6 linked regions of the Nothobranchius furzeri genome follow. The protein of the gene in region 1 binds, or shares a complex with, the protein of each later gene. Links are inferred from orthologs where the notes say so. Each region holds a gene or a part of one and is shown in the gene's direction. Other genes may lie near its edges. The genes, in order: mediator of RNA polymerase II transcription subunit 13-like, cdk8, med25, med4, med20 and med24.

Region 1 (4,147 bases):
CCACCCAGCAATGACAGTAACACAAGCGCACTAAAGGCTACTGTTGACAGCTGGCGATGGGATATCTGGCCGGTGTGGTGATTCACCAGACATCGTGTGTTGCAAAAGAGCAGCTTAAAAGACATGTCCCCACATGTGCAGGTTTCAGCTCGTGAGACCACATACGTCATCGATCCTAGACAAAAGAGGCTCCTACCCGCACGAGCGACAAATTCTCGTCTGCGAATTGAGAAACTACGGACACGACGTTACGTGACGGCTGGTTCTGGTTTTCTTCCCGTCTCCGTCGCCTGTCACTCACAACCTCCTCTGTTTCTGTTTCTCGGGTGGGCTCCGGCATGTTGTTGACATTTTCTCGACTAGTCTGACGCTCCGCCTTTTTGGGGGAGGGACGTTTAAAACGGGACTGTAAGCAGAAGCTCCGCCCCTCAACGTAGAAGCGAAAGCAGCATCAAGTTTACATAAAAAAAAAAAACCAAAGAACATCATGTGCAGTCGACTTTGGTTTAAAACGTAAAGGTTTGTGAACGTTAAAAGCTCGGCTAGTTAGCTAACTTGCTAAGGATGCTAGTGCTAGCAGCAACCACTCAGATTGCCCACAGATTATTTAACATCTGCACATTAATCCCCAATTACACATTAGAGTGCTGATATCTTTGTTTTAAAAGTGCAAAAGCTAAATTGCCGCCTTATAAACTTGACATATTATATAAAAATGGTAACGTCTAGCACTGGCAGCAGAGTGAGACATGTTAAGTAAAGAGTTACCACTGTATGACAGATGCACTGAGGCTCTCATCTTGTAAACTGTGAAGTCATGGAGCTTCTTGAAGCCGGATAACGCCCCCATCAACACAAATTGGCCAATGGGAGCTGAGAGGCAGAGTTGTCCTCCTGGCCGCCATTAAAGAATTCAATCCATGTAGTGAAATAATGGAAATCTGCAGGACACCCATGGATCCAGGCAGAGACGATTAGCCGATGAGTAGTGTCGGAGATTTGGCATTTATTCTGTTTGACGAACAGTTTTATCATGACGGAGCTCCGTTGAGGTTTTAGAAGGAATGAGGGCGGTGTAGCTGATTGTTTTATTTAGCTGGCAGGCTAGCTGAGATCAGGGGGAGGGGAGAGTTCCTCTGCTTTGAAATTGTTTCAGATCAGCTAGCTGACGTTAGCATTAGCACACCAGGGACCAAGCTTTTGTGATGAAGTTTTTTTAGTTTCCGAGCTCGTTCTTTCAAATTTCTGGGGTTTGTTTTAACTTTAGTCTGTTCTGGTTAGGTTAACGTTAATTGTTTGATATTTATGTGATGTGGCCGCAGCTCTGCGGCTAACCAGATCAGACAATACATTTCAAATAGGATTGATGAATCGACTAGCTAGAAGCCTACAGTTGACGCTATCTGGCTGTCTGTCTAATGTTAGCTTAGCCGCCAGGCTAGTAGCTAGCGCCGGTTAGAAGTTGGCTGACTTAATTACAAGTGAACGTCGCTTCGCTTGCGAGTTACACCTATCAGCTATTGCCCCAAAGGTGGTTGAGACAATGGACTTGAACGTTACCACCGCGCAGTGAAAGGATGAGTTCGTGCTTTGTACCAAACGGAGCCAGTTTGGAGGATTGCCACTCCAACATCTTCTGCCTGGTAAGCCTAGCTAGCGCTAGTTGTGTTGCTGAAAGGCCAGAAAGCCATTTTGGCTCAGAAGGCAACAAGCTTTGTAACGTCAGTTTCAGATTGGCGAGAAGGCATCGGGCCTTCAAGTCTCAAATTGTCATCCTGCTTGTTTTAATAACACACAAAACACATGTTGTTTGGCTACTTTATAAAAAATGACGTGTTTGCGATTGTGCTTTTGGCCCATGTTTACACTGCAGTTGAAGAGGGATAATCAGTGTTAGCAACATGTTTATAACGGGTTGGGAATTGTTTGAAACACAGCCGATTGTTCTAAATTGTGTTGGATATGTTTTTAAATGATCTATAAACAGAATAACAGGGTTTTCTTTGCAGTCTGAAAAAGTATAAAATTGTTTTTATTTTGTATTTTCCGTTACATGTATGGAAATAAGAGCAGTGTGTGGAACGCATTTGCGTTACCAGACTTTCGTTTCCTACTATTTTATTACTCAAAAATGTAAAAATCAGATTCTAAAGAAGTGAACATACAAGCTTTTCAAAACAATGTAGCTAAGTTATGGAGTTATTTAACATGAAAAATGAAGACAAACCTTAGCGATCATGATATTATTTATTGACTAATCATGAAATGCACGTAAAATTAACGTGTAATATAATAACATCTATATTACTAGTGGGATGGACATCTGTTGGTTTTCCATGGTTATATCTTGAGTTTTCCATGCTGAGTGTTATTCTGTTTGTTAGTTGGATCATTTGACCTTTATAGAAACGTGTTAAAATAACTGTCAGAATACCAGGTGCACATTAACTAGCCTATTTCACAATTATTTAGTGGATATTTACAGTAAAATTCAGGAAATGTTCTAGAATCAGCTGCAGTCTGGAAATTAACCTCTGGAAAAGTCTGGAATGAAGTCAGCTGCCTTGGCAACTTAAAATGAAATGTGTTTACAAGTTTATGCTTACTTTTTTTTTGCAGTGAAACATTCAGTGTTGTCTACATGTTTTAGAACAAAATGAATGAAAACACAGAATGTTTTTTTCCTAGAAGGTGGCTTTGCTCTGAAATGATCTTGAAATAGAAAGTTTGATCAGTTACTGTGTAAAATACTTCAATTAATCAGCTTTTGAAGTTCTTCTCTGTTATTAATTTTTGCATCAGGTATGTTTGTGCATTCTATTTTCTAAAAAACAAAAGCTTAAATATCTAAATGTAAATGTTTTTCAAGTTTTTTTAACATGTTGATTGTATGGAAAAGAGGGACAAATAAGTTGGTTCATCCACCACATAAAGCTTCATTTTTAATTTGTTGATAGAAACCCCCCGTGCATTGATGCTAATACAAGTGCTGAGGGTCAGACGTGTCTCAGATGAAAGACACCTGCAGCTCAGGCCTTTTCCTCTTCATCTGTTGACACGTTTGTGGACAAGTTGAACCTCATGTCACTTCCAGTGATGCCACCTTGCATTGCAGTGTTGTGCAGCACTTTGTGAGCCTTGCTAAGTTTATTCATAATACAACTAGGCAGTCACAAGTTGGCCCAGTCCGTAACTATACACCGCGTGCAACAATGTCAACCATCCTCTTGTTATTATCTTTATTATGTAAAGTGCTTTACTATAAGACAGAAAAAGCAGCCTTCAGCTTTCTAAAACACATACGCATAGCCATGGATTTGCCTTTGTGTTTTAAATTTTTATTCACACTTTGTTTTTTTATATTTTCTTCCCTTTAGGCTGATTTGACTGGAATAAAATGGCGACGTTTTGTGTGGCAAGGTCCCACCTCTTCGCCCATCCTCTTCCCGGTGACCGAGGAGGACCCGATCTTGTGTAGCTTCAGCCGATGCCTGGCAGCAGATGTGCTAAGTGTGTGGAGAAGGCACCACACCCCGGGTCGCAGGGAGCTTTGGCTTTTCTGGTGGGGGGATGACCCCAGTTTTGCAGAGCTTATCCACAATGAGCTTTCGAGTAAGTGAATGCATCATTTGCATGTTTTCTGCCGGGTTTGAGATTCGCACAATATCCCGTTTAACTCTCACCAACTTTGATGTTCATTGATCCAAATGGAAATATTGTGACGTTTACTTGAGGGGTGGGTGGTATGATCACAGAAATAAATTAAGATTGGTTAGTTTGTTCTTTTTTTAGAATTATGGTCAAACTGTAATTTTGATTACATTTTCTCTTTTATATGCATAAAATAAAGAGAAAACAAGCAGCTTTAGTTTGGAGCAATGTAGATTAGTCCTGATCTGACAGAGGAGCTAACAGCTAGTTCAAATTAGGTCAGTCACAAAGATTTTTTAAAGTCCCAAAAAAATCTTAGATTATGCAGCATTTTACATTGTTTTTAGAGTTCATGATTATTCTGACGGATATAACCAAGAATTGCAAACAAAAGTTCTATAGTAGCTAGTTCTGCAGCTAATTTCTGCCGTAAATAACCCAGAAACGTCTCACTTGTGGTGATTCTAGTCTGAAAATCTCCAACAGCAGAAATTTA
Region 2 (3,291 bases), on another chromosome or scaffold:
ATATGGGGTTTGCTCGTCTCTTCAATTCACCACTGAAGCCTTTAGCTGATCTCGACCCCGTCGTGGTCACGTTCTGGTACAGAGCACCTGAGCTGCTGCTGGGGGCTCGGCACTACACCAAAGCCATCGGTGAAACCCTTTTCCACTTCTGCTCTGCACGTGTTTTTTATTGGTGTGGCTTTGACTTATGTCAGCACGTGCTGTGCGTTTCTCCCAGACATCTGGGCGATTGGCTGTATTTTTGCAGAGCTGCTAACGTCTGAGCCCATATTCCATTGTCGTCAGGAGGACATCAAGACCAGCAACCCATACCACCACGACCAGCTGGACCGAATCTTTAATGTTATGGGCTTCCCTGCTGGTGAGACTGTTAATGTGTTGGTGTTACACAAGATTTTTCCAGCTACGATGTTCTGGAAGGAAATGTGATGAAACGCATTATTTTCTCGGTCTTTACTTGCTCTGTTTTTGAATGTATTAATGTGGTCTGTAGACGCCGGACATCAAACCACAGACTTTATACAAGTCACAAACCTAGAGATGGTTGCTTGCAGGCCTACATTTGGACCGATACTTTCCAGTTCACAAAATCTGCTTCACTTTTCCTTTTTTCTTTTCTCGTCTCTGCCGCTCTATTTATTTAATTCACCAGTCAGTTAGAAGGATCACTTTGGTTTCTGCAGAAATTTTGGGCAAATTTGCAGAGTTTAAGTACAAAACCAAAGCTAATTGGTGTAAAAATGAAAGAAATGTTGTTTAATTGTAAGTTGCTGTGGAAAAATAATTTTTTAATTTCTTTAAAGATAAATGATCCTTCGTCCTAACCCTTTGTTGCCTTGGTCTAACAGATAAAGACTGGGAAGACATCAAAAAGATGCCAGAGCACTCCACACTGATGAAAGATTTCAGAAGGAACACGTGAGTCTGCAGACCACTTGTGTCCTGTTTTTTATTTGTTTTAAGATCAAAACAAAGCAAAGTATATCTTAATACACAAAAATTACACACACTTCATAGTTTGCTCCTGTTTTTATACAGATACACAAACTGCAGCCTTATAAAGTACATGGAAAAACATAAAGTTAAACCAGACAGTAAAGCATTCCACTTGGTGAGTTGAAGCGCTTTTGATTTAGTCTTTCTCTGCCTGATATATCTGGTACGGCTTTTTGTTTGACATTAAAATCACGTTATTGATTGCAGCTGCAAAAACTATTGACCATGGACCCCATCCGTAGAATCACATCGGAGCAGGCAATGCAGGACCCGTACTTTTTAGAAGAGCCTCTTCCCACGTCTGAGTGAGCTGCAGCAGATTTAGTTCTGGCTTTTAGCGCGGCTAACGTGCCGGAGGAGACTCCTGAACAGGTTGATGAGGTGTTTTTGCATTCTTCTAGTGTGTTTGCAGGTTGTCAGATTCCCTACCCCAAGAGAGAGTTCTTGACAGAGGAGGAGCCAGAGGACAAAGGAGACAAAGTAAAATTTACTTTACAAACTTATTTTATGAATGCATTTGAATCAAAAAGCAGTGGTGTACGTAGATAATCCTCATGGGCGGGCAGTATAAATTTGGGGTGGCACCAAATTGGTCCCTGTGGCTGTCGATTGCTTCTTTGTTATCTTTCATTTAGAACTAAAGGCCTATGCGTCCGTCATATTTACCTCAGAGTTGAGGAACACAAACATTTAAGAGGTTCATAGTTTTTTTCCGCTTTTGTTTTAAATTTTGCTGTTTTATAATTTTAAGTTTAAAATTTGCCTGTTGTCGTTTGAACAAAACCTTTTTGAACATATTTTTGAAAAAATATAGTGAGCCTCAATGGGATACGTAGTATATAAGCTGTGATAATTTTTTTTTAGTAGAATACATTTATTTGTTAGTGTAAAAATGTATGTCCTAATTAAAAAAAGATGAATGTACAATTTGTGTGAACATGATTGTGATTTATTAGGGAAGGTGGGGGGGTGGTCTTCCCTGGTGGGGGGCAGTGGGGTGGCCACCAATTTACCAGGGTGTGGCCATGGCCCCCCATCCCTGGCCACCCCTTGGAGCACCCCTGTCAAAGCAAAAATGAGAAACTAAAATGTTGTAGTACATGTACAGTATTGTTTAGATTGTTTTGTTGTTGGGTGTTTTAGAAGAACCAGCAGCAGCAACAGGGAAACAACCACACAAACGGGGCGGGGCACACTGGCAACCCAGAAAATAGCCACACCCAGGGCCCACCTGCAAAGAAGGTGCGGGTTGTCCCTCCCACCACTACCTCAGGTGGCCTCATTATGACCTCAGACTACCAGGTGAGCTTTTCTGCTGCTCATCTGGACACACAAACAGAACAGCTTGTGTCCTAAATGCTAAATAAAGAAACTAATTGCTGATGAAAACAGAAGAAATTTGAAGTTTTTACTGACAAAGCTTTTTTTGTTGTTGTTGTTGTTCATGCAGCGCTCTAATCCACATGCTGCCTACCAGAATCCTGGACCAAGCACATCACTGCCCCAAAGCAGCATGGGATACTCCTCTACCTCCCAACAACCACCCCAGTACTCCCACCAGTCCCACCGCTACTGAAACACCCCTCCCACAAATAAACACACACATTTCTAATCTGAACACACACTCACACAGCCATTTCTGTGACCGCCTGAACGAATGTACTGAAGGATGTGGGGATGGTGCAACACCCCACACCCTACCTTCTGAAGGCACTCTGCTGTGATCTGGTAGTTCAGAGAGACAAAACAACTCCACCAGTGTCAGACAACACAATCCCAGTACAGCGTAAAGCAAATCCTCATGGGTGAAAGGCAGATCAAGAGGATAAAAATAAAATATTCCATTAATCAGGCAAAATACAGACGAGCCATCTCCTTTCCTCTGCTTCAGTTCCCCTCGTCCCGTCAAAACTTGGATGAGACGAAAGCTGCTACGTGACTGCCCACGTTAACAGATTCTCAGTCCTCCTATTTGTTTTGTTTTTTTGTGTGTAAGGGGCCTCCGCTGAGGACTGAACTGCGGCAAAGCAGGCTGGGAGATTTTTGATCTCACAGCTGTGGGATGGAGGCTTTTTTTGTTCAGAAAGGACAGAGTAAGGATTTTAGTAGTTTCTAATTTAATCTATTGTCATGATTTTGTTTTCATGACAAGCGTAACACAGCAGAGTGTGTGAGTTGCTGTGTACTGTGAGTAAGCCTTACAACATGACGACAAAACCAACTAATCGTATGGAGGATGGCAGATGGAACATGCATTGTACTGTATTGCATTTAAATATTTTACATGAAACAAGT
Region 3 (3,500 bases), on another chromosome or scaffold:
GGCATGTCTCATTGAAAAAGAATGGAGGAGAGGTGATGTCTCCTCTCGTGTGCCGAGCCCATAACACTCGTGGACTCACCCATCTTGACTCACGATGGGGAATGCTGTTATTGGTTTAACGTCCAGGAAACAGCAGAGAACGTCTCAGCTAGTAGACGCTGTCACTGGGCGACATAGCGAAAATGTATCGTTATCTAAATTTCTGACTCTAATCAATATAGTTTTTCCCATGTCAATAAATTTGATAATAAAAGAAGAAAATTAAAAGATGCGTGTGGGTTGGCCATGTTCATGTCTCTTTAAGAAGCTGTACCACCTCGAGTCACATGACGACATGACTCAATGTAAGACGCGTGACAGCCCCATCTAGTGGTCCGTTTATAGTTATCGAGGTGAACTCCTCAATATACCGCGATATTGATTTTAGGCCGTATCGCCCAGCTCTAGTTGAAGCTAACCATTAGCATTAGCAACTTCACCACACAGCAGAAGCTCCTTCAGGCTTGTGTTATTTGCGGAGATGAAACATCTTTGTTGCAAGTCACTTGTAAAGTGGCGTTGCTGTTTTCTAATCTAGAGCGAGATGTCCAATATCATGAAATAAGACTCCAGCACCTGTCATTCGAAACTCAGCAACTTTTACTTCCTAGAAATGGTGCGCCGATACCCCCGATCGACTTACAAGGCTTTTCTTCCTACTAGAGACCACTGCACCTGTATTTGTTCAAGGAATAAACGACTCCTTTAAAGGTTACTCCAGAAAAATGATTAAACCAATAGGTGATGAGTTGGACTCTGCATTTTTCTTAAAACCATTTTTAACAATAAATCTGAGTGTAGTCTCAGCCTGCTATAGATGGGAATCTCAGCTCTGATCTGTGTGTTTGTTTCAGAGGTCAGACTCACAAAGTGTGTGTGCTGCTGTGTAACTCCCCCCCGTACCTGCTCCCTGCTGTGGAGAGCGTCAGCTACACTGGCTGCACCGCAGACAGCTTGGTCAAAATCATCAGAGATGTGAGTCGTCATCGGTTACTCTTCGACCTTAGCTTTGCTTAAATCTGCTTGTTGGTTTTAAGTTGTTTACGTTTGCTGTTGAGTCAGTAAAAAGAAAAACAATCACTTTAACGGGCCGTGTTTGATTGATTGTAGAGAGGAATTCACTTCTCTGTGGTTGCTCCTCGGAAACTGCCCGCTCTCAGAGCTTTGTTTGAGCGGGCATCTCCAGTGAGCGGGGCGGTTGAACCCCACCCCGACTACAGCCAGGATCCGTTCCACATGGTGCTGGTCAGAGGCATCTCGCTTCCACGTGAGAAACACTCATTTAAATCCAGAGTTCGTTACAGCAGGTAGAGCTCTGCTGTTGAACATTGTCCTATTTAGTTTTTGAACTGCTGTTTCAGGTCTTTTATTTGTGTTTACTATTGTGGAGAAAATGTTAATAAATGATGTATTAATTAGTATTTTAGAGCATATTCTCACTGAGAATGTTATGCTGATATGTTAGCTTCCATTGCCACCATTGTTATCAGCTAATGGTGCGTTCGCTTTCTCCTCGGAAATTCTAACTTCCCAGTAGGAAAAATCAAATGAAAAAGGACGGCAAAAGGAATGAAGATACACAGTAAATTTAGTTCACAGTAAAGATGTTTGCTTCAGTTTAACTATCAGCTTATAAAACTACAAGGACGATGTTAAAATACAAACTTGTATGTTATTTATCGTGATATTTATCAAATATGGTTATATATTGAGAAAAATATATATTTAATTATAAAAGAGAATTAAAATAATAAACACTCAAAAGTATCGAAAATTGGTACCGTTAAGTACCGGTATCGACTCGTAGGTACCGGGAATTAGTACCGGATCGATTCAAATGTCAAAGGTACCCATCCCTAATTCTCAGTGTGAGGACAGTATGAAGCAGGTAGAGATGTTAGGTTACACGTAGCTCCAAGCTGAGGTGATTTATTTTTGGGAGATGACACAGTGAGAGCTGAAGGCTCATCTCCAGAAACATTGAAAGTTACTCACTTAGATATTTAGCTTGGTTTATTGCTTATTTATGTCTATTTCTTTTAATCTTATATTGTTTGTAATTTTCATCTCGCTGCAGCTGATTTCTCAGAGGAGTCTTTATTTTAGGCTCCATTTGGGACAGCTTCCTTTAGACCACTAATGTGTCTGTGAGACACTGGCTGTTGAGTTTCACACTTTAATTTCTGCTTCACAGTTCTGCTGTAAATTAATTATTTTGGCAGGTTCAGCTTTCCTAAACAAGGAAATAGCGGTTATGAGGTTAATCTTAGCCATTTGGAGTGTTGAATGCTGAACAGAATTTGGCACACTAATGTTTCTCACCTGTAAATGGAGCTTTTCTGTGGTCACAGCTAACACAGGTGGAGGACCTGGACCGCTGAAGCCTGTGCTCCCCCCTCAACAGCTGAGTGTCAGCCAGCCTGTTGTTGGGCCTCCTCAGGCCCCTCCACCCATTAACACGCCCCACTCTTATCAGGTAAGGGCCACCCTGCTACCAAGCCCCCGGGGACTAAAGCTTGCCTCCTGCTTTTGGCTCGCTGTCAGAAAAGGGTTTCACATTTCTTCTGTAAAACACTCTCCAGCGCTGACTCTGGTTTTCCAATCTGTTTCCTGGCAGAATTTGACCTCCATGACTCCTGCTCATGTGGCTGCACAGAGGGCCGTCGAAGCAGCCAACAACCAGAAGAGTCGCTGTAAGTTAACAGTTGGCCTCCAGTTCCATTTTTGGTTCTTTATTAAAACACAGAGAAGGTTTCTCTTTACCTTGCTGACGGTTTCGTTTGCAGCTGCAAACATCTTCAGAGCTGACGCTGATGGTGGCGTCACTTCCTACTCCGTTTATCCGTGGGCAGCAGAGGACGTTGTCGCCCTCTGCTGCCCGCTCTCCCCCCTCCGATGATGCAGTCCCATGCGCGATCCAATGAGTAAACTCCATCGTCTCTGTTCAGGCCTCCAGGATTGTCGGGAGCAGATTACTGCTGCTATGAAGTTGAAGATTATTGCATCAGAATAAAAATACGTTTACTTTAGTCGACTAAAATAAGACTAAAGCTAAAACTAACTGGATGACTAAATTGTGACTAAAATTAAAAATTATTTTTGTCAAAAGATTTAAACTAAATTAAAATTTCTTGTCAAAATTAACACTGGTGGAGTTTAAAAAATATATATATATAAATTAGGGCTGGGACTTGATTAAAATTTTTAATCTAATTAATTACAGGCTTTGTAATTAATTAATCTCAATTAATCACATTTTAATCGTTCAGGAAAATGTGCTCTCAAAGTAAAACTTAATTAAAATTATGAGACAGAGAATCAAACATTAGACATGGTTATTACTGTAAACTAAAGCTTTTAAATAAAAAATGCATTTAAATTAATCAAATGTCACTGTGTGATATGAAACAAGACCCAAATCAACAAAAATTTATAATTACAAATAGAAAACACCTGAAAAG
Region 4 (4,222 bases), on another chromosome or scaffold:
CTCAGCTGTTATTTTTGTTAAGGAGTGCACACGTACAGCATGCGCGCCTCGTGCATGAGCCTACTATTGAAGCTGACATTATGCTTTTGGCCTGAGGGGGCAATCGCGAGCATAAAAATTCAAAACTCTGTAAAGTCCCTTCAATAATAATCAAAATAAAGTTATTCAAAATAGTTTCATTAGGTCTTGAGTAAATTGCTCATAATTAATGATTCAGCTTATTTGCGCATTTGTAATGACTAAACATAATGTTGGTAAAATGCTTTATTAAAACTGCTATTATACATGTTGTACAAATTTGGTGTTCATTTTTTCACAATTAACACACTATTATCTACTGTGTTTGACCATACAGTTTTATTGAACTTTTCTTTTTAATTAGTAGCTATAGTAGCCAGATAAACTGGGTTATAGATGCATGCATGGACGTGATTTTGGGAGGGGAATGGGGGGACATGTCCCTGACATGTTCCCCCCACTTTTTCCAAAATCAAGTTTTGACCCCTGTACTTTTTACCATCCAAAAACAATATTACGCTATATTAAATTGACACTGGTTGAGCTCTAACACCAAGCGGAAAACAGCCGTTTGTGTTGAAACCTGTTTCCCATTACAGCATACTGTAAAGATCCCCCCCCCCGTGTCCCCCCCCCCCCACTTCTCAAGTGAAAATTACATCCATGGATGCATGTACTGTCTTCACATAAAAATATAAAGTAATGACTGTAAAATGTATTCTACTGAACATAATAGATCATCATTCAAAACATAAACAGCTACATATTTCTTCAAGGTAAGCTGGAGCAGAATTCTAGCTTTCAATAAACCACTTTAAAATGGATATTACAACTCGAGTTTAGGGCTTCTTGTAGGACTTAAAGTTATTAAATATGCTTTTAGTAGAGCAGTGTGTACACTACATCAAATTTATTTCTATAACATATTACAGTAATGTATGTGGTCTAAATGTGTTAGGACTGTTGTATTCCTGTAACGTAGAACAGTCAAGGGTGTCGGTCTTCCTACAAATGCTTGGAAAAATATAAATAGGCTCCTTTGTGAAGGAATTAGGACATAATATATAATCCATCCAACCATTGTCCGAACCCACTTTGTCCGGGGGGGGGGGGGGGGGGGGGGGGGGGCAATAGGCAATCAGGCGGTGGACACCCTGGACAGAGAGCCAGTCCATCGCAGTATATAATATAATATATATAATATTATATATTATTATATTATTATATAATACTGTATATCAAATACAGGCCATATTCAATAATTACCTAAAATCACCAGGGGCAATGTGACTATATTCAGTTTTTGTGATTTGCCCACCGTACACCGTTCAAACTGACGTACGGCGCTGGGATGTTTGGAACTATTGAGAGCTCCCTGAACCACGTGGCCGCAGTGTCGCAACTCTGGCTCTAATTTCACAACAGGAAACGGAACGAGACGTAACATCCGGTCCGACCGCGCGATCCGAAAATGGCGGCCGTGGCGGAGAAATCAACGAAAGAAAGACTTTTGTCTGTGTTGGACGACTTGGAGGTTTTATCACGGTAAAATTAAAAATAATTAGAACGTTCTTGTTTATTTATTTAATATTTTAAGCTGATGTCATTTTATTATCGATCACGTTATTCAGCTGTTGGCATCGGTTCCGATCTAGAGTTCCTGGTGATTACTCTGAAAGTAAAAGATGGTTCAGTGTTTCTGGGTCTTTTGCAACCTTTATTATAACGGGCAACATATAACCCTTCTCTTTATGTGTGTGTGTGTGTCTGTCTGTCTGTCTGTGTATTTTCAGGGAGTTGATCGAGATGTTGGCTCTGTCCAGATCTCAGAAGCTACCTCAGCCCGGAGACGACACGCAGGTAACGGTCAGGAGCAGGTCTGGAGTCAGATCCAAGGCTGTTGGATTACACTCTCGATGCTTTATAACTTTGACACAGAGCTGCTACGTAGTACTCTACTGGTTTACGTAGTATCTTTCTCTTCAGCCATTGGCTAAAGTGTATTCAAAATGTCTCAAACTCTATGTTTTAAGCTGAAGGTGGCGCTATACTGTGGTATTTAGGCAGAATTTTTAAGTTTTAAAGAAAATGCACCAAAATGCTAAAATAATGAATACACACATTTAAAACACTATTAGACACTCATTTATACAGTTCATCAGCAAAAAAAAAAGTCAGCAAAAAAAAAGTTAATTTAGACGATACTTGCTCTTTAAATATCAGAGTCCAGCAGTTACAGATACATTTCTGTGTTGATTAGAACACGGGCAGAGCCTAAGCTCAGTTTACGTGCTCAATCCTGAATGTTTCCCGTATTTCGGGGAATATTTAATTTTCTTTAATTCCATCTCTGTGGTGCTATGGCAACATATTATGTTGAAAATTGGAACAAAACCGGTTCCATAGCATTTATGTCCTGTTTGATCTGATCATAAATAGTTCATCATACACCACTCCTATGTAGGGTTGTCACGGTGTGAAAATTTAACCTCACGGTTATTGTGACCAAAATTATCACGGTTTTCGGTATTATCGCGGTATTTTTTTAAACGTGCTACATTTTCAGACAACTAAATAAACCCTGTATGTCAGGAAATATTGTCCTCAGTTTGTGTCTAAATTTTGTCTAAAATGTGTTATTGTGTAATTATGTTGTTTATTTGTTTACATTTTTCCTCTTTAGTCTTTAAAGTATCAATATTTGCCCATAACTTCTTATTTGTTGTCTGTTTGATGTCATTATTTAAAAAATATTAGATCAGATGATACTCAGCACTCAAGTAGCCTTCTAATCAGATATTTTTTACCCTTACTTGAGTAATAAACCCTATATCAGGAAAATATTGTCCTCAGTTTGTGTCCTTCCAGTGAGCTTTGCAGATGTGGGAAAATGTCATCAAGCAGTAATCATTGTTAAATTCATAATTATTCTCGGAGAGAGACCAACTCTTATCTGTCCCTGGGAGCCCCGTAATGCATAGCGTCATTTCAACATGGGGGTGTCCGCGTCGACACGGTTTATATGCAGGTAGCGGCGCTGCGGCTGCTTTATATAGCGACTCGTTGCATTCTCCCTCAACCCAAATCCTCGGATCACACATTTTAGCTAAAACGCTAACGTTAGCTTGCCTTGCGTTGACTGTAGAGTTGTGGGTGATGGTCACGCAGATGTGTCATGAGATTTGAAGCGTTGCTGCCTTTCACAGACACTTTTTCTGCACGTGCTGCAAACAGGATAGTCGTCTTCTATCAACTCCCTCGGCATTCTTCAAATATCCAAAAGATGCCCGTACTTCCCCCTTTGTCTTCTTTGAGGGATAATAAATGTCCTGAGCGCTGCCGTCTCCTCCTTTGGCCATTATTTCAGCTTTAGCTTCAAGAAAGTTTTGGTTGTAAACAACAAAGCGCGCATGTGCCGCCGGCAACTTCAGCAGATGATACGGTGGCTGGTAAGGGTCACCGCAGCCACTGTAATCACCGAGATAATATAGTTTTTTTAAAAACAAGGCGGTTATTATTATTGTCAACTTTTTTCCCCAGAGTTCACTGCTACACCGGTTACCATGACAACCCTACTTCTATGTAAAGTATTTTAATATAAGTTTCAGTGGGTGCGCTGGCAGAAAGTCTTACCCTCCAGTCAGAACCTAAAACAACACCAGTAGGCAGAAATGATCAAAAATACCCGTTATTAGCACAACTGAATAATAAAACACCACGGGCGAGTTCCGCTGTGGAACTCGTCGGCTACTGCCTCTTGTCCCTTTAAGACAAAACCAGCTGTTCAGCATAAGTAAAATCAAACAATCAGGTACTTAGCTGGCCCAGTCGATGCGACCCCCTCCCCGGGGTCTGAGCTTCCAACACCGTCCAACGCCCCGGGGTTCAGCTTGCGTGGACGGCAGGTGAGTCCATGGCTCGGGTCCGGCTGCCAGAGTTTGCTGTGGCAGATGTCGGCGTGGTCTCGGCACCCAAATACTCCCAGCCCTCGCTACCTAAAGAAGGCGTCAAGCCTCCCGTCCTAGCACTGGAACACTGCCCACCTACTCAGCTGTCTTCATCGCCGGCAGTCCTAACCAACTGCGAACGATCCCACCCCCCAGAACCGGGTGTCACAATGACAGGTCGACCATACACACACACACCTTGGTAGATCTGCCACCCTTTTATCATCTCCGGCCTCATCACACCTGACAAGCACCAG
Region 5 (4,232 bases), on another chromosome or scaffold:
GGCAATAGCCGGAAATTATAGCTTAGATTTGGTCAAAGTGGCCTTAAAAAGGTCTTAAAAAGTCTTAAATTTGGCACCCTTAAACCTGCAGATACCCTGGGAAAAGAACAAAGTAGGTGAGATCATTTTTAACAGGAGAACACATTTCAACATAACACAAACAACTGTATAACTTACCTTACCGACACCCCGGTAGACCTCGGTCACCCTAGGGTCCAGCTGGGGCATTGGAACCCCTGATACCTCAGACATCACTGTTCCCACCTCGGTTTGCTTCTCTGTGATCTTCTCCATGATAATATCAGCTAAGGTCCGCCTGTGATGGTCACAAAGAGGAAAACAGCTGAGTATACGAACATAAACTTAACCTCAAAGTGGACTTTAGCAAATTCCAACAGCTAGAATTCAAACAAAGTTGTGAGAAATCTTGCCTCATTGGAGGGTTTTTATTCATGAACATCTCAATGGCCTTCTCATCATCAGAATCAACGATGACTTCAGTATCACCCTCCACATCACCATCCCCAGCACCTGCTTCTCCCAGAACTGGCCAATCTTCATCTGAGTCAGCATCCTGGGACTCAGGGCCTAAAATAAACAGGTCAGACAACATTAGAAAATATTATTCATGCATTCAGCAAAGACTTATTTCACCTAAATAGTTCTGAGAAGATCACGCTGGGAACTATTTTTCTCTGTGATCGTCTGACATTTTGTCCACATAAAAAACATTCGTCATTAGTTTTATTTTTGCAGAGAAATAAAGGGATGTTGCATAAGTAACACCGTATAACTAATTACAAAAACACTTTCGTGGTTTCTACGCTTGATAAACCAGACTTAATTAAAAAAAATACTGCCAATTTAAGGTCCGAAACCCTCCATCATACCGAGAACAGTGACTGGTGCTTTCCTCTGCTCAGGTGCCAGGCCATACTCGGTCTGCAACTCCTCTTGTTGAATCCGGGCCTGTTGTAAGATTTTCCTTGACAGACGTTCATCCACGTAGGTGTCCTCACTTTCGACCCGGGCGTCTCGATTCTTCACCCGGCCTCGGGCTCGGATCGTGTCCGCCTGGAGGATCTGGTCGGCCAGTGGCACCGCTCCTCCTCCGCCACTCTTCTCTCCTCCACCGCCACCTTTAGCTCTTTTCACTTTCGGCATCTTTCAAGAGTGACTCAAGCTGCGACGACGCTGTCCGTGTTTTGTTTTACCATTAGAGACACAAACAACGCGGAGAAAGAATTCTGTAAACAGTCTGTATTCTACACGTGCAGATTACCGTACGGCGGAAGTGACGATATACGTAACGTCTGTGCACTGAAAAACATATATATAACATACCATTTTATATGATGTTGATTTTATATGTTTGTATGTAACATACATTTATGCAATATGATTATAAAGTTTCTTGAGTTTGTTTTTTAATTTTCTGAAACAAGGTCGTTTACGTGCACCGGAAGTGTAAATGTTAATCCGGAAGTAATTGCTTCACGAGTGTTTTTTGCAGGCGAGAAATCAATGGGTGTTACTTGGTAAGCAGATTTACTTATGTTGTAGTTAAATGCTAACTGTAATAATATTTTTGTAATATATTTTATCACGCTGTGCATATGATTTCGTTTGGCATGTGTAGCTAACTCGGTGAATGTAGCCTTTATTTGCTTCCAAACCGTTTTACACTGAATAGAATAGTGTTTATTGTCGTTGTACGGTGTACAGCGAAATTAGAGTGCCACTCTCTTTAGTGCAAAATGGAAAACTATACAAAAAATAATACAGAAATAATATAAATGTAAAATGAACAGTAATATATATATTAGTTGGGTTCAGTAAGCAGAATTTTAGCATATTGAGTAAACAGAAATAGGACATTCAAATGTTATTGCACATGATCAATTTTGAACAGGTTGCTTCACGGTGTTGTGTTGTTCTTGTGCTGTGCAGTGTTTGCCAGGTGCCCGTGGCGGAGGGGAAGAGTGTCCAACAGACAGTGGACATTCTGCATAAGAAGCTGGAGCAGCTTGGAGCTGTGAAGCAGGGCAACTTCTGTGTAGACTGTGAAACATATCAATCAACAGTAAACGCTGGCGGTAATTTTCAGCTATTAACCATATAAATATTATCATTCCTGTTGTTTAGGTGCTTTAGATGGATAGTCTTCTGCATTGCTATTAATACAACTTGCTGCAGGGGAATTTGTCATATTTCTTTGATTAAATTCTGCTTTTTGAAAATGTTCTAATAATTATGTCAAATATTTGACTTAAACTCAATTGTCCAGGATATGTGTGCCTTGTGACAAATATATTGTCAAGCTATGTAATTTTCATTTTTACTGATCTTATTTCTCTGTAAGGTTAACAAAAACAGTCATCCATTGGGTAAAAATAGCCAGATTAAAATACAGTTGGTGTGTTTTAGAAAGGTTTTCTGTAAATCTTCATTACTATGTTATGCAAGGTTAAATGAGCCACGTTTCCACTGTATCTTTCCCCAGAAGTCAGGAACATTTAAAAAGCCCCATCCACTGCAAGAATCCGCTTAAATTTGTTTAAATGGGACAGCAGTAGCTCAGGAGGTAGAGCGGGTTGTCCAGAAGGTTGCAGGTTCGATCCCGGCTCAGACCAAAGAATTCTGCTGTTGTGTCCTTGGGCAAGACACTTAACCTGCCTTGCCTGCTGGTGGTTGTCAGAGGGGCCGATGGCACCAGTGCTCAGCAGCCTCGCCTTTGTCAGTGCGCCTCAGGGCATCTGTAGTGACATCATAGCTCATTCCCACCAGCGTGTGAATGTGTGTGTGTGAGTGACTGTGTTGTGAAGTGCTTTGGGGGGATGTAGAACCCTGTGAAGGTGCTATACAAACACAGGCCATTTACATTAAGCTCCTTGAAAAATAGTTTTTATTTTTATGTTTTATAAACATCCGCAACCCGGGGTCTATAAACGTTTGATTTGGCATTTATCTTTCTAAGTTACTACTAGTCTTTTTTTTCCAGGTTTCCACCAATGAGTCCATTAGCAGAGCAGTAAATCATGATCTAATTTAGCTCAAGTGTCCTCCAGAAAAAAAGGTGTCTGCTCTCGCATCCCTCATAAGCAACATTTATATAAACAGGACATGGTATGATTCTACTACTTACTTGTGTAATTTTAAACTTAATAAGCATGCTGCTCTAATCTGTGTCCAAAAATAAAAAAATCATGCAAAGTCATTATGCAAAAATTGCATTGTTACATTTTGCTGTTCTTCATGCAATTTCTCACTTTAAGTCTGGGTTTGTTACAGGTCAGCCCTCCAAGCTCCTTTATGTAATGCACAACTCTGAATTTCCCCTGAGCTGCTTGGCTCTGTTTGAAGGAGGACCCTGTTTGGTAGCGGACACAAACTTTGACGTCCTCATGGTGAAGCTGAAGACCCATTTCCAGAATGCCAAGGGACACAAGGTGGAGTGTCGCGGTTCGAGATATCGCTACTGTGACTTCTTGATTAAAGTTGGCACGGTCACAATGAGTTCCAGTGTTCGAGGGATATCAGTGGAGGTGACAGTTTGGTATTATCAGTTAGACCAGAGGCCCATTGTTCTCTTTTTTGACAGGATTAACCCTTGATGTGTTTTCCTCAGGTGGAGTACTGTCCCTGTGTGGTTCCAGGGGACTGCTGGAACCTCATGAAGGAGTTCATGCTGTCTTTTCTTGGCAACAATGTTCCTGAGCTTCCCACTGTATTTGCTGCCAAGCCTGAGGGTCTTTTTGCACCAGCAGACTCTGTCGACACCATGACTCAGTACCTGGAGTTGTTCAACAAGCTACGGAAGTTACAAATCACAGGAAGCAATGTGCACTAATAACATTTTTTAATGATTGTATTGATGTGTGTTAAATGTGGTCCTATGGAAACCGTATGATTTGTATAGTTCTATTTTTGTAACTTCAGTTTTGTATTTGTTTACCCTGATACAGTTAAAAGGAATACAGCTACAATCTATAGATGCAAATGCTCAACACAGACAAAAATAAAGACAAAAATCTACCTATTTCTGCAAGAAGTAAAAATTCCTTACACTCGGTGGGGAAATGTTGGTGTCACAGCAGCAATCATTCACATCAGGAGCAAAGAAGAACAAAATCCTGTAACATATGCAAGAAATTCTTAAAACATTCAATCGAATAAAAAAAATCTGTGCAGATAGACGAAGTTTATAATGAGGAGTGATGGCATGAAAGGAG
Region 6 (2,179 bases), on another chromosome or scaffold:
TTAGTGAATGAAATGAAAGCGTGTGATTTCATCAGCTGTTTCCTCTGTAGGAGATCGATCGATGAGCAGCTCCCTGTCTGCCTCCCAGCTTCACACGGTCAACATGAGGGACCCTCTCAACAGAGTCCTGGGTGAGACACGTCCCACAGCGCCGTCCTCCTCACCAGCTTCTGCTCATGACACTGTCATCAAATGTTCAGACTTAGAAACATATAAATCTTGAGGAGAATTAACCAGAGTTTGGTGCGATTTGTTGAAATAAAACAAAAGAAAAGGGTTTGATAGCTACACATCACACAGTAGCAACAACAGGTTTCTGCTTGTGGCCTTCATCAGGGTGTTTCAGGTTCAGAAAGCCTTACACTGGTGTCTGTGGGGGGTTGCCGTGGTCACCCTCATGAGCCACTGGCAGCAGTTTTTACATTTCTTGATCTTTTGACACTTTTTAGTTTATACATCAAAATGTACACATTGACACATTTAGGTTTTTTAAAGATAATAAATATAAATGAAAACTTTTAAGGTAACATTTGATCACATAGAAAGTTTATCTGCAGTGGTGATTTTAGAAAATAAAAGTGCCTATTTCTTCCAGGCAGCAGTAGCTCAACAGGTTGAGCGGGTTGTCCAGTAATCGGAAGGTTGCAGGTTCGATCCCGGCTCCGGACAGAGAATTCTGCTGTTGTGTCCTTGGGCAAGACACTTAACCCACCTTGGGGTGGTCGGAGGGACTGGTGGCGCCTCTGTCAGTGCGCCCCAGGGCAGCTGTGGCTACATTGTAGCCCATCAACATCAGTGTGTGAATGTGTGTGTGAATGATACACTGTAGTGTAAAGGGTGTGGTCTGCTCTCTCTCCCCTCCCCCTCAGCCAACCTGTTCCTCCTGGTTTCCTCCATCTTGGGCTCTAAGATGGCCGGACCTCACACCCAATTTGTGCAGAGTTTTCTGGAGGAATGTGTCGACTGCCTAGAGCAGGGAAGCCGTGGGAGCATCCTGCAGTTCATGCCTTTCACAATGGTGAGTTATGAGCAGGGTGAGGGAGATGACACAAAGGAGTGGCTGGAGGGAGGGAGAGAGGTTGCTGTTGCTTCACATTTTTCCTGGGCAGAGTTAGAATTTCCTGCGTTTACATGAACTGTGTGTTCCATCTCTAAAAACATCTGTGCTTGTGGTTTACAGCGAGCAATCTCTGCATGGGGATAGGTCAAAAGTTCATGGATGCTTCATGGTTAAGGAGTTGGGACAGGATTATAAATCAGAGCTTGGTCATGTGACTCATGTTATTAGACTGGTCAGGAAACAGGGAAGAAACCATTCCTCTTTATTCTGAGTTAAATGAGTCAGATACTTAAATAAAACAGAGCAAAGGTTCAGCAGCTGAGCAAAGGTCAAGAGTAATCACCTGTCCTTTTGTGTGTTTAGGTCTCTGAGCTGGTGAAGCTGCCCGCTTTGGCCAAACCCAGAATCATCCTGGCTATCACCGACCTGACTCTGCCTCTGGGGAGGAGAGTCGCTGCCAAAGCCATCTCTGCTCTGTAGAATATCACCCACGTTCTGTGTAGTTCTCTTTTAGGAGCACTTTTTATGGGTTTTTTTTTCACATAAAAACAATGTTTCAAGAAGACAATGTAAATACACTTAAGAATAAAAATGCAGATCTTTGTTCTGTTTGTCCGAAGCAAGCTTCCTTAGTTGTTTTCGTCAGATCAAATTGTTTATGCTTTTCCTGGAAGCGGCTGGGATCCCTGCTGACATCTGACCGTCGTGATCACATGCTCACAAGGCTTTCGCATGACACGGCGTACGATGGAGTCATCCTCTGAGCGACGCAGTGGGTCGTCTCCTGCTTGCAACACTTCCTGAAGGCAATGAGTGTCTGTCAGAGGGGAAGGAACACTGGCACCAAAGCCTCTGTTTCACTTTCAGTTGTGCTTTTTTTGTCATAAAATTAGTTTTGTTGGAATTTCTGGCCCAGACTCATTGATGAGGCAGACTGCGTCAGCCAGATTTGCCCCTAGTTGAGTCACTGCAGTGTCATCGTCAAAAAGGAACACTCTTTAAAAGAAAGCCTTTTTATTAGGAACTCAGAAAATACACATTATTATTATTATTGATCCTTTTTTCTGCAAAAATAAATATCTAGCATCCATCCTCTGAAATAAATATATAAATAGATTT

Evidence for each region.
Region 2: the proteins of mediator of RNA polymerase II transcription subunit 13-like (region 1) and cdk8 are in contact, whole or in part, in a cryo-EM structure (PDB 8TQC), measured with the Homo sapiens proteins. The link is inferred for Nothobranchius furzeri from reciprocal best matches to the Homo sapiens genes MED13 and CDK8. Residues at the interface, in NP_005112.2 of Homo sapiens: Thr1616, Met1617, Asp1618, Arg1619, Lys1621, Val1622, Gly1623, Ile1624, Pro1625, Thr1626, Asp1627, Gly1628, Asp1629, Ser1630, Val1732, Lys1733, Thr1734, Leu1735, Thr1736, Gly1737, Phe1738; in NP_001251.1 of Homo sapiens: Leu9, Glu12, Arg13, Arg71, Lys74, His75, Pro76, Leu81, Gln82, Lys83, Val84, Tyr133, Asp137, His140, Tyr141, Met330, Gln331, Phe335, Leu336, Leu340, Pro341, Thr342, Ser343, Asp344.
Region 3: mediator of RNA polymerase II transcription subunit 13-like (region 1) and med25 share a complex: the UniProt entries of both Homo sapiens proteins name them as parts of the mediator complex. The link is inferred for Nothobranchius furzeri from reciprocal best matches to the Homo sapiens genes MED13 and MED25.
Region 4: mediator of RNA polymerase II transcription subunit 13-like (region 1) and med4 share a complex: the UniProt entries of both Homo sapiens proteins name them as parts of the mediator complex. The link is inferred for Nothobranchius furzeri from reciprocal best matches to the Homo sapiens genes MED13 and MED4.
Region 5: mediator of RNA polymerase II transcription subunit 13-like (region 1) and med20 share a complex: the UniProt entries of both Homo sapiens proteins name them as parts of the mediator complex. The link is inferred for Nothobranchius furzeri from reciprocal best matches to the Homo sapiens genes MED13 and MED20.
Region 6: mediator of RNA polymerase II transcription subunit 13-like (region 1) and med24 share a complex: the UniProt entries of both Homo sapiens proteins name them as parts of the mediator complex. The link is inferred for Nothobranchius furzeri from reciprocal best matches to the Homo sapiens genes MED13 and MED24.

Annotation. Positions count from the first base shown.
Region 1 is NC_091753.1:50,252,393-50,256,539, reverse strand, and holds the start of mediator of RNA polymerase II transcription subunit 13-like, read left to right. Parts: upstream 1-1,347; 5' UTR 1,348-1,577; coding exon 1,578-1,643; intron 1,644-3,377; coding exon 3,378-3,612; intron 3,613-4,147. Other genes in the region: c18h3orf33 (protein C3orf33 homolog), read right to left, coding at 197-340. UniProt on the Homo sapiens protein: Component of the Mediator complex, a coactivator involved in the regulated transcription of nearly all RNA polymerase II-dependent genes.
Region 2 is NC_091747.1:51,014,490-51,017,780, forward strand, and holds the end of cdk8 (cyclin-dependent kinase 8), read left to right. Parts: coding exon 1-129; intron 130-217; coding exon 218-361; intron 362-848; coding exon 849-918; intron 919-1,038; coding exon 1,039-1,111; intron 1,112-1,203; coding exon 1,204-1,301; intron 1,302-1,397; coding exon 1,398-1,476; intron 1,477-2,139; coding exon 2,140-2,298; intron 2,299-2,446; coding exon 2,447-2,572; 3' UTR 2,573-2,791; downstream 2,792-3,291.
Region 3 is NC_091745.1:8,280,534-8,284,033, reverse strand, and holds part of med25 (mediator of RNA polymerase II transcription subunit 25), read left to right. Parts: intron 1-893; coding exon 894-1,014; intron 1,015-1,149; coding exon 1,150-1,306; intron 1,307-2,390; coding exon 2,391-2,515; intron 2,516-2,656; coding exon 2,657-2,732; intron 2,733-3,500. UniProt on the Homo sapiens protein: Component of the Mediator complex, a coactivator involved in the regulated transcription of nearly all RNA polymerase II-dependent genes.
Region 4 is NC_091754.1:35,365,939-35,370,160, forward strand, and holds the start of med4 (mediator of RNA polymerase II transcription subunit 4), read left to right. Parts: upstream 1-1,422; 5' UTR 1,423-1,489; coding exon 1,490-1,563; intron 1,564-1,811; coding exon 1,812-1,878; intron 1,879-4,222. UniProt on the Homo sapiens protein: Component of the Mediator complex, a coactivator involved in the regulated transcription of nearly all RNA polymerase II-dependent genes.
Region 5 is NC_091743.1:46,651,293-46,655,524, forward strand, and holds med20 (mediator of RNA polymerase II transcription subunit 20), read left to right. Parts: upstream 1-1,432; 5' UTR 1,433-1,524; coding exon 1,525-1,538; intron 1,539-1,950; coding exon 1,951-2,096; intron 2,097-3,291; coding exon 3,292-3,545; intron 3,546-3,628; coding exon 3,629-3,850; 3' UTR 3,851-4,039; downstream 4,040-4,232. Other genes in the region: bysl (bystin), read right to left, coding at 178-316, 432-588, 891-1,164. UniProt on the Homo sapiens protein: Component of the Mediator complex, a coactivator involved in the regulated transcription of nearly all RNA polymerase II-dependent genes.
Region 6 is NC_091756.1:31,514,767-31,516,945, reverse strand, and holds the end of med24 (mediator of RNA polymerase II transcription subunit 24), read left to right. Parts: intron 1-50; coding exon 51-131; intron 132-595; coding exon of another isoform or gene 596-618; exon of another isoform or gene 619-810; intron 811-869; coding exon 870-1,018; intron 1,019-1,423; coding exon 1,424-1,540; 3' UTR 1,541-1,679; downstream 1,680-2,179. UniProt on the Homo sapiens protein: Component of the Mediator complex, a coactivator involved in the regulated transcription of nearly all RNA polymerase II-dependent genes.